Linked DNA regions of Xenopus tropicalis. The protein of the gene in region 1 purifies or fractionates together with the protein of each later gene. This does not show direct contact. Links are inferred from orthologs where the notes say so. Each region holds a gene or a part of one and is shown on either strand. Other genes may lie near its edges. The genes, in order: foxm1 and otub1.

Region 1 (4,399 bases):
CTAGGGGGTCTTAGAGATCTGTTTCCTCCCAGAACAACAGACAGAAGGCAAAGCCATTGTATAACTCAACAACTTCATTATATGGGGGCACTAAGAGCCCCTCTGCACTCCCCCATTATCACACACACATATATATATATATATATATATATATATATATATATATATATATATATATATATATATATATATATAGAACATTAAGACATTCTGTGCATTAAGCTACCAATGCACAGAATATATGGACAGACAATCCCTGTTTTTGGTATGAGATCCCTTATCCGGAAACCCCTTATCCAGAAAGTTCCGAATTACGGAAAGGCCATCTCCCATAGACTCCATTATAAGCAAATAATACTAATTAACTTTTCTCCCTAAAACCAACATCTATTAAAAGAAAGCTGCTATTTCCGGGAGAATAAATGCATTATCATGATTACAGGTATGGGATCCCTTACCTGGAAACCCGTTATCAAGAAAGCTCCAAATAACGGAAAGCCTGTCTCCCATAGACTCTCTGTAAAAGTAAAACAGTACCTTGTAATTAATTCTTACTGGGGGCAGAACAGCCCTATTGGGTTTATTTCATGGTTAAATGATTCCCTTTTCTCTGTAATAATAAAACAGTACCTGTACTTGATCCCAACTAAGATATAATTACCCCTTATTGGGGGCAGAACAGCCCTATTGGGTTTATTTCATGGTTAAATGATTCCCTTTTCTCTGTAATAATAAAACAGTACCTGTACTTGATCCCAACTAAGATATAATTACCCCTTATTGGGGGCAGAACAGCCCTATTGGGTTTATTTCATGGTTAAATGATTCCCTTTTCTCTGTAATAATAAAACAGTACCTGTACTTGATCCCAACTAAGATATAATTACCCCTTATTGGGGGCAGAACAGCCCTATTGGGTTTATTTCATGGTTAAATGATTCCCTTTTCTCTGTAATAATAAAACAGTACCTGTACTTGATCCCAACTAAGATATAATTACCCCTTATTGGGGGCAGAACAGCCCTATTGGGTTTATTTCATGGTTAAATGATTCCCTTTTCTCTGTAATAATAAAACAGTACCTGTACTTGATCCCAACTAAGATATAATTACCCCTTATTGGGGGCAGAACAGCCCTATTGGGTTTATTTAATGGTTAAATGATTCCCTTTTCTCTGTAATAATAAAACAGTATCTGTACTTGATCCCAACTAAGATATAATTACCCCTTATTGGGGCAGAACAGCCCTATTGGGTTTATTTAATGGTTAAATGATTTTAGCAGGCTTAAGTTATGGAGATCCAAATTAAAGAAACATCTGGAAAACCCCAGGTCCCGAGCACTCTGGATAACAGGTCCCATACCTGTATATATTAATAATGGGGGAGTGCAGAGGACCTCTTGTTGTTGTTGTCTATATGAACTTTGCAGTCACAGCTTTATTGCACCTCTGCCTAATGGTTTAATCAGGGGTGCTCAATCTTTTTAAGCAGGGGGCCAGTTCACAGTCCCTCAGACTGTTGGGGGGCCAGACTATAGTTTGTCCCACACCCCTGGCTATAACTGGCCTGCCTCAGCGTGGTCCTTGGCTGCATCACGTTACCCTGTCACACCCGCCGATGCTAATGTGTCCAGCGAGGGCCACGCTGAGGCAGACAGGTAGTAGCCAGGGGTGAGGACACAGCAGGGGTAGGTAAATGCCCGTGGGGGGCCGTAGTTTGAGGACCCCCTGGTTTAAAATGTAATGGTCAGCACAACTTTCCCTTTTTTTGCACTAAAGCCAGAAAACATGTTAAATATCCTCAATTTGTAAATAAAGTTGCCATGGCTGCGTGGTTTCATCACTAGCACAGTGCCAGCGGCAGATAGTGCCCAAATATACAGTAGCTGGGCAAGTGGCCTTACTGACCCATTGCGGGACCCCCCAGCAATACAGCAGCTGATGCATAGAATGATTTGCTTGGGGCTATGGAACAAAGAGGAAGGATTACAGGCATTTATGGTACAGCATCCTTCATAATGAACTCCCTGCTGCTCTGATTGGTTAGTAAGGAGAACTGGACCAGCTAGAACGTTATTCTGTTAGGTTCTTGCTGTATATGTGATACAAGGGGGTTAGAGATCCCTTCTCGTGTGTTTCTAACTTTATTTTCCAACCTATACTAATTCCCTAATAACACCCGCACTGCTACAGAGTGAGCGACAATGGCTCTAGCACCCCCCTTTACTGATTGTTAAAGCCCCTGTCCCCTCCTCATTCACTGAATAGGTCACTCATTACCCATTGAATTGATGGAGGAGGAGGGTGAGGCAGACAGAAGGCAAAGCCATTGTATAACCCAACAACCTCATTATATGGGCGCACTAAAGCCAGAAAACAGGATACATTTTCACAATTGGGAGATAAAGTTGCCATGGGCAGATAGGGCCCATATATATATATATATATATATATATATATAAAATATGTGGCTGAACCATTGCAGGACACCCCCTCCCCCAAAAGACCATTAAGACATTACAGGTGGGTTGTAGTTGAACAACAGCGGCTTCCATAGAGTGGAACATGACAGTTCCATATTGAGAACTGACACCCCCTACACCCACAGGCCTCCATGCTCCTTCTACACAAGCCTTGCACCCACCCTCATACACACACAGCCCCAACTTCACGTCCGATGACGATCTAACCCGATCTAAATACCTGTTTATAAGACGGTGTCAATATCGGGCCTTTCCGTGGTTTTTGAATTTTCGCGCTTTCGGGCCCGCTTAAACCCACGTGACCACATCGACCAATCCACAGCGCGTCCCTAGCGCGTCACGCATCTCTCGACCAATCGCGCAATCAATCAACGAGTTCCTTTGGCAAAGAGCCAATCATAATGAGCGAGTTATAGAACGCTCGCCGTAGCCAATCGGTGTCGGGGAAAGAGAGAAGCCCTAACGTATCCCGGAAAGAAGGGGATATTACAGCGCTGGGCCGGAATGTTCGGGGGCTACCTGTCCGCTTATTAAGGGTTTGTAGCTGTCGGTGGGTTGTGGGTGCAGTTGTGGATAACAAATTGATTGGTGGGGAACATGCTGATTGGACCTGTTTGTTTTAAACGGAATCGGAGCCGTCATGTTGGGAGCGCCATCTGTGGGTAACTCATGGTATGACAGGAGGCAGAGACTAATGACTGTAGCACTCAGAGCTTGGCTAACGTACAGGTATGGGACCCCTTATCCGGAAACCCGGTATCTAGAAAGCTCCGAATAGACTCCATTTTAATCAAATAATTCAGAATTTTTAAACCTGATTTGTTTTTTCTCTGTTATAATAAAACAGTACCTGTACTTGATCCCTTGATCCCTGGCAGAACAGCCCTATTAGGTTTATTTAATGGTTAAACGATTCCCTTTTCTCTGTAATAATAAAACAGTACCTGTACTTGATCCCAACTAAGATATAATTACCCCTTATTGGGGGCAGAACAGCCCTATTGGGTTTATTTAATGGTTAAATGATTCCCTTTTCTCTGTAATAATAAAACAGTACCTGTACTTGATCCCAACTAAGATATAATTACCCCTTATTGGGGCAGAACAGCCCTATTGGGTTTATTTAATGGTTAAATGATTCCCTTTTCTCTGTAATAATAAAACCGTACCTGTACTTGATCCCATCTAAGATATAATTACCCCTTATTGGGGGCAGAACAGCCCTATTGGGTTTATTTAATGGTTAAATGATTCCCTTTTCTCTGTAATAATAAAACAGTACCTGTACTTGATCCCAACTAAGATATAATTACCCCTTATTGGGGGCAGAACAGCCCTATTGGGTTTATTTAATGGTTAAATGATTCCCTTTTCTCTGTAATAATAAAACAGTACCTGTACTTGATCCCAACTAAGATATAATTACCCCTTATTGGGGGCAGAACAGCCCTATTGGGTTTATTTCATGGTTAAATGATTCCCTTTTCTCTGTAATAATAAAACAGTACCTGTACTTGATCCCAACTAAGATATAATTACCCCTTATTGGGGGCAGAACAGCCCTATTGGGTTTATTTAATGGTTAAATGATTCCCTTTTCTCTGTAATAATAAAACAGTACCTGTACTTGATCCCAACTAAGATCCCTTATCCGGAATACCCTTGGTCCCGAGCATTCTGGATAATGGGTCCTATACCTGTACCAGCAGCAAGTATAAGGATTTAGAATCTAAAAATAAGGCAGTGGGATTTTACAGGCAAAGCCAAAAAGGTTTGATCTATTTTAGATCAAACCTTTTTGGCTTTGCCTGTAAAATCCCATTGGCTTATTTAATGGGAGGCTTATTTGCCCACTGCCTGTCAGTGTTCTGCACCTCATACTAATCCTGCTGTCCCTCTGTTTTTGTGCCTTAG
Region 2 (4,349 bases), on another chromosome or scaffold:
GCTTTGAGAGTGAATGGATTCCATGGGAAGAGCAGTACAGAATTACAGAATTCCTGGTTCTTACAAAAGCAACATTTGACTGCAACTCTTCTTCTGTGCCAATCAATCCATTGATATGGGGATTGTGATGCAGTAGCAACCTTTGCAACTATACCCTTGGTTGCTCTTAAAGGGGTGGTTCACTTTTAGTATGTTATTGAACACACCAATAGGCCAGTTCTTAGCAACTTTTCAATTAGTCTTCATTATTTGTGGTTTTTTTTATAGTTCTTTTATTATTTGCCTTCTTCTTCTAACTCTTTGCAGCTTTTAAATGGGGGTCACTGATTCCCTTAGCAAATTATAAGCATCATTCTTAATGACTAGGCTATTAAAACGCCAGCCGGGTAGCAACCCTTCTTTGCTCCACAAGTTCATTGACTAATTCTGTGTAGTTTTCACCAGTTAAATAGTCCACTGACAGTGGAAAAACCTGACTGTGCTTTAAAGGGGAAAACCACCCAAACACAACTTAAGCTTTTTGAAAAGTAAAGATAATTTCAAGGAACTTTGCAATATACACCAATTAAAACGTGCACCAGTTACAGGATTTTTTTTTTATATATTCTTTATTTTTGATTTTTCAGAGAAAATGGGGTACAGAAAAAAAGAAGGGAATAGGGTAAGGACATTTGAAATGATCTGCATTTACAAACAGGTTGTGAGGTCAGGAGTAACAAAAGTTATTACTTTTAATTTTAAATACATTTGAGAAAGAATAGAAGCAAATAAAAGATAAAACATGTCATCAGGGACTTGTTAGTTTTTTAGAGTAGTGGTTCTATAGGGTCTTATGTCAACGGGTTTGTGTATGAAAGTTGTTGATAAATGTTAGCCAGGGTTCCCACCAGTTACAGGATTTTAATGTAATATTGTGGTTTATAACAAAGCCTGGCCCCTGTTGACTTGCTGATCTGACTACTCAAACCAATATAACAGTAACTGACTGTCCTCCTCCTTCAGCCTGCATGCTCCAAATCCCACAATCCCCTGCACACATCAATAAGTGCAATGCATTGTGGGTTATGTATTTCCTGCATGCTATGTGTAAGCTGTGGTGATGTTACAATTTGTAACATCAGTGTTTTAGTCCCTCTTCCCCTGGCAGGATTTTCAAATGATACAGAAAGGGAAGATTGTTTTGCAGCTGGATTTCATTATATAAAAATGGCATTTAGTCATACTTTTTTGAAGAAACAGATTACAGTAATAGGTATATTATATTTTGTGTGTTGTGTGGGGCTCTCTAACAAATCTTAGTTCGGAAGCTGACGTTCCCCTTTAAAGTAAGGAACACTTGGTGACATAGAAAGCTCAGTGAGTATTACAGGAGACTAGTCTAGCACCACATATAACCAATGAAGTATACATAGCACTAAAGGTATTCAACTATCTCGTGCTTAATACAGCCTGCTTAGTATCGCCTGGCTGAGCGCTTTATTCTACTATAAACTAGCGAACAGTTACTATAGGAACCGTCTCATCCGGCGCTGTGCTATGAAATTAGGGAGGGACTTCCGGTTTGTAGTCTCCCGGAAGTGATTGGAGTGGCGGCGGTCGGTTGGAAATATGGCGGCGGAAGAATCTGAGCGGCAGCAGCAAAGTGATTGTGACGGTGAGAGAGTTAGTGGCTGCGGGGTGTACCTGCGTGTTCCTATCGGCTTCTCACAGTATAACGGGGAGTGGGAGGGAGGAGAGAGGTGCGGGTACAGGCTGCAGGGGCACACACAGGGGCACATACAGGGGCACATACAGGGGCCATACACAGGGACACACACAGGGGCCATATACAGGGACACATACAGGGACCATACACAGGGGCCATATACAGGGACCATACACAGGGGCCATATACAGGGACCATACACAGGGGCACATACAGGGGCACACACACAGGGGCCATATACAGGGGCCATATACAGGGACACACACAGGGGCCATACACAGGGGCACACACAGGGACCATATACAGGGACCATATACAGGGACACACATACAGGGACACACACAGGGGCCATACACAGGGGCACACACAGGGGCCATATACAGGGACACACATACAGGGACACACACAGGGGCCATACACAGGGACATATGGACATACACAGGGGCACACACACAGGGGCCATATACAGGGGCCATATACAGGGGCACACACAGGGGCCATATACAGGGGCACACACAGGGGCCATATACAGGGGCACACACAGGGGCCATGGGATTCATATGGAAATGCACAGCCCGCTTGCATTAAAGCTATCTGCTCTGTACGTCTTTACAGGGCTTTGTTTATTTAAGGAAGGAGATATCAGATCTGATATCATGCATTCTCTCCCTGGAGCTGATTAAGTTAATTGTCATCTCAATCTATATATATTTTTTATTAAATGCACCAAGAATGGAGGTACCACTGTGACAGACACATCTGCTGCTATCACCAGAGCTGTCAAGCCCCCCCCTCCACCACTTCTTTGGGAGTCAGACGATTTCTCCAGTCCCCCAGCAGTGTTTTTCCATTTTTGCCGAAGTCCTGAAGTGAATTTGATGCATGCATGTATAGTAAGCGTTCAGTGACGTAAGTTGATGCATTTGTGCGTCTGTGGGGGAATTTTTCAGCTTCAGCAGCGATTTTGCGCATGCCGTCGCTTCGAGAGGCCTGCGTGACGTCCATTATGTCACTTCCAGGTATGGGGGAACATTTTCTGTTCCCCTGGAAAGCCTAGATGTCAGGTTGACAACTCTCTATCCCCCATGTCCAATACAATAATCATAAAGGTGGGCGAGGCAAAAGAATTCCTAGGGATGCTGATTTGTTAGGCGCCTCTCGGTAAGTATAATCGTGCAGCGTGTTCGACCATATTTTGTGCAGAAGCACAAGGGTACCCTAGATGGTAATATTTTTTTTTCAAAGAATATCACTGGGTTGGGGAATTCAGTTACAACAAACCAGCATTCCCTGCTTATTTTTGGTTGGTTCTCCTTAAGGGCAGTGACACATGGAGAGATTAGTTGCCATGATTTTTACCACACTTCCCGTTACACGCACATATATACAAGTTGCCATGTATAGTGGCTACTCGCTCAAAAAGAGTCCAGTGGCTACTTGGACCTTGTGGAAAGGGAACTTTGGCGATTTGTCACCATGATCAGGCTTTTTTCAAAATCTCCCCATGTATCGTTGCCCTTAGGGCAGGGGTGGGCAAACTTCTCGGCTCAGGGGCCACATTGACTTACAGACAGGCCGAGCCAGCGTTACGCCATTTCCGCTCGTCAGTCCTTTGACACCAAGTCTCTCATGACAAGACTTGTGGAGTCAGCGGGCCGGATTAAAAAGACCAATGGGCCGAATGTGGCCCGCGGGCGTAGTTTGCTCCCCCCTGCCTTAGGGTAATGGCACACTGTATACTTTATAGTCCATGTGAAATCGCCTCTCTCACAGACAACAAAGCACCTAAAATAAATTGCATTTGGTAACAGCAAGAATCACTGTCAGGGGCAAATTTGGGACCAATGTCACTCTGAGGCTGCCTTCCCAATGTAGCCTCCCTCACCTCCTCCCCACACACCCTTTTAGCATCAGAGAAACTTAATAAGCCCCTGGTAACCTACTGGGCGCAGCCTCCTGAGGCAAGGAGCACCCTTCATCACCATGGGTGATATGAAATGCGTAACCACATGAAATTGCCCCCTTATGCACTTTGGCTGATTACACAATATATATGTTTTACCTGCGCTAATTCTTGTTTGTGGAAATGGTATTTTTTAAGGACACTTTGTTACCTAACGATGAATGCAATTTACCACAATTTGCCCAGTGTTATATCACCCTTCATTGGGTAGTTCACCATCAGATTAACTTTTTGTTTACAGTGGTATTCTGACACAATTTACATTTTGTCTTCATCTTTTCATTCTTTGTGGATTTGTTTTTTTTTTTTTTTACCCTGGAATTTATTTCTGCCCACCATGCCTGGGCTTAGGCCCTACAGTTCCAGGGCACAAAGAGCCCCTCACAGGGCCCAATATAAAGCACCAGTCTGTTCTCAGACATCTTGCAACTGAAGCTTTAATTCTTTCTGGTTTGCAAACTATTTAACATTTTGTTCCATACCTCTACAGTTTGGGATTTAAATGATCTGGTTGCTAGGGTCATGCTTATACTAGCAGCGAGCAGTGATTTGCAGACTGCAAGATGAAAAGGAGAGTGCCTGAAGAGGAAGTTACAAATATTAATAAAACTCTTGCCTCAAGATTTTTTTTTATAAATTAAAGTTTTTATAAAGTTTTTATTTAGGATTTTAACAACAAAA

What was found.
Region 2: the proteins of foxm1 (region 1) and otub1 purify together in Homo sapiens (affinity purification with western blotting; 4 studies listed by BioGRID, with this or other methods). This does not show direct contact. The link is inferred for Xenopus tropicalis from reciprocal best matches to the Homo sapiens genes FOXM1 and OTUB1.

What each region holds. Positions count from the first base shown.
Region 1 is NC_030679.2:10,383,291-10,387,689, forward strand, and holds the start of foxm1 (forkhead box protein M1), read right to left. Parts: upstream 2,801-4,399; 5' UTR 2,706-2,800; intron 518-2,705; 5' UTR 459-517; intron 1-458. UniProt on the Homo sapiens protein: Transcription factor regulating the expression of cell cycle genes essential for DNA replication and mitosis. Plays a role in the control of cell proliferation. Also plays a role in DNA break repair, participating in the DNA damage checkpoint response.
Region 2 is NC_030680.2:36,046,261-36,050,609, reverse strand, and holds the start of otub1 (ubiquitin thioesterase OTUB1), read left to right. Parts: upstream 1-1,537; 5' UTR 1,538-1,608; coding exon 1,609-1,654; intron 1,655-4,349. UniProt on the Homo sapiens protein: Hydrolase that can specifically remove 'Lys-48'-linked conjugated ubiquitin from proteins and plays an important regulatory role at the level of protein turnover by preventing degradation.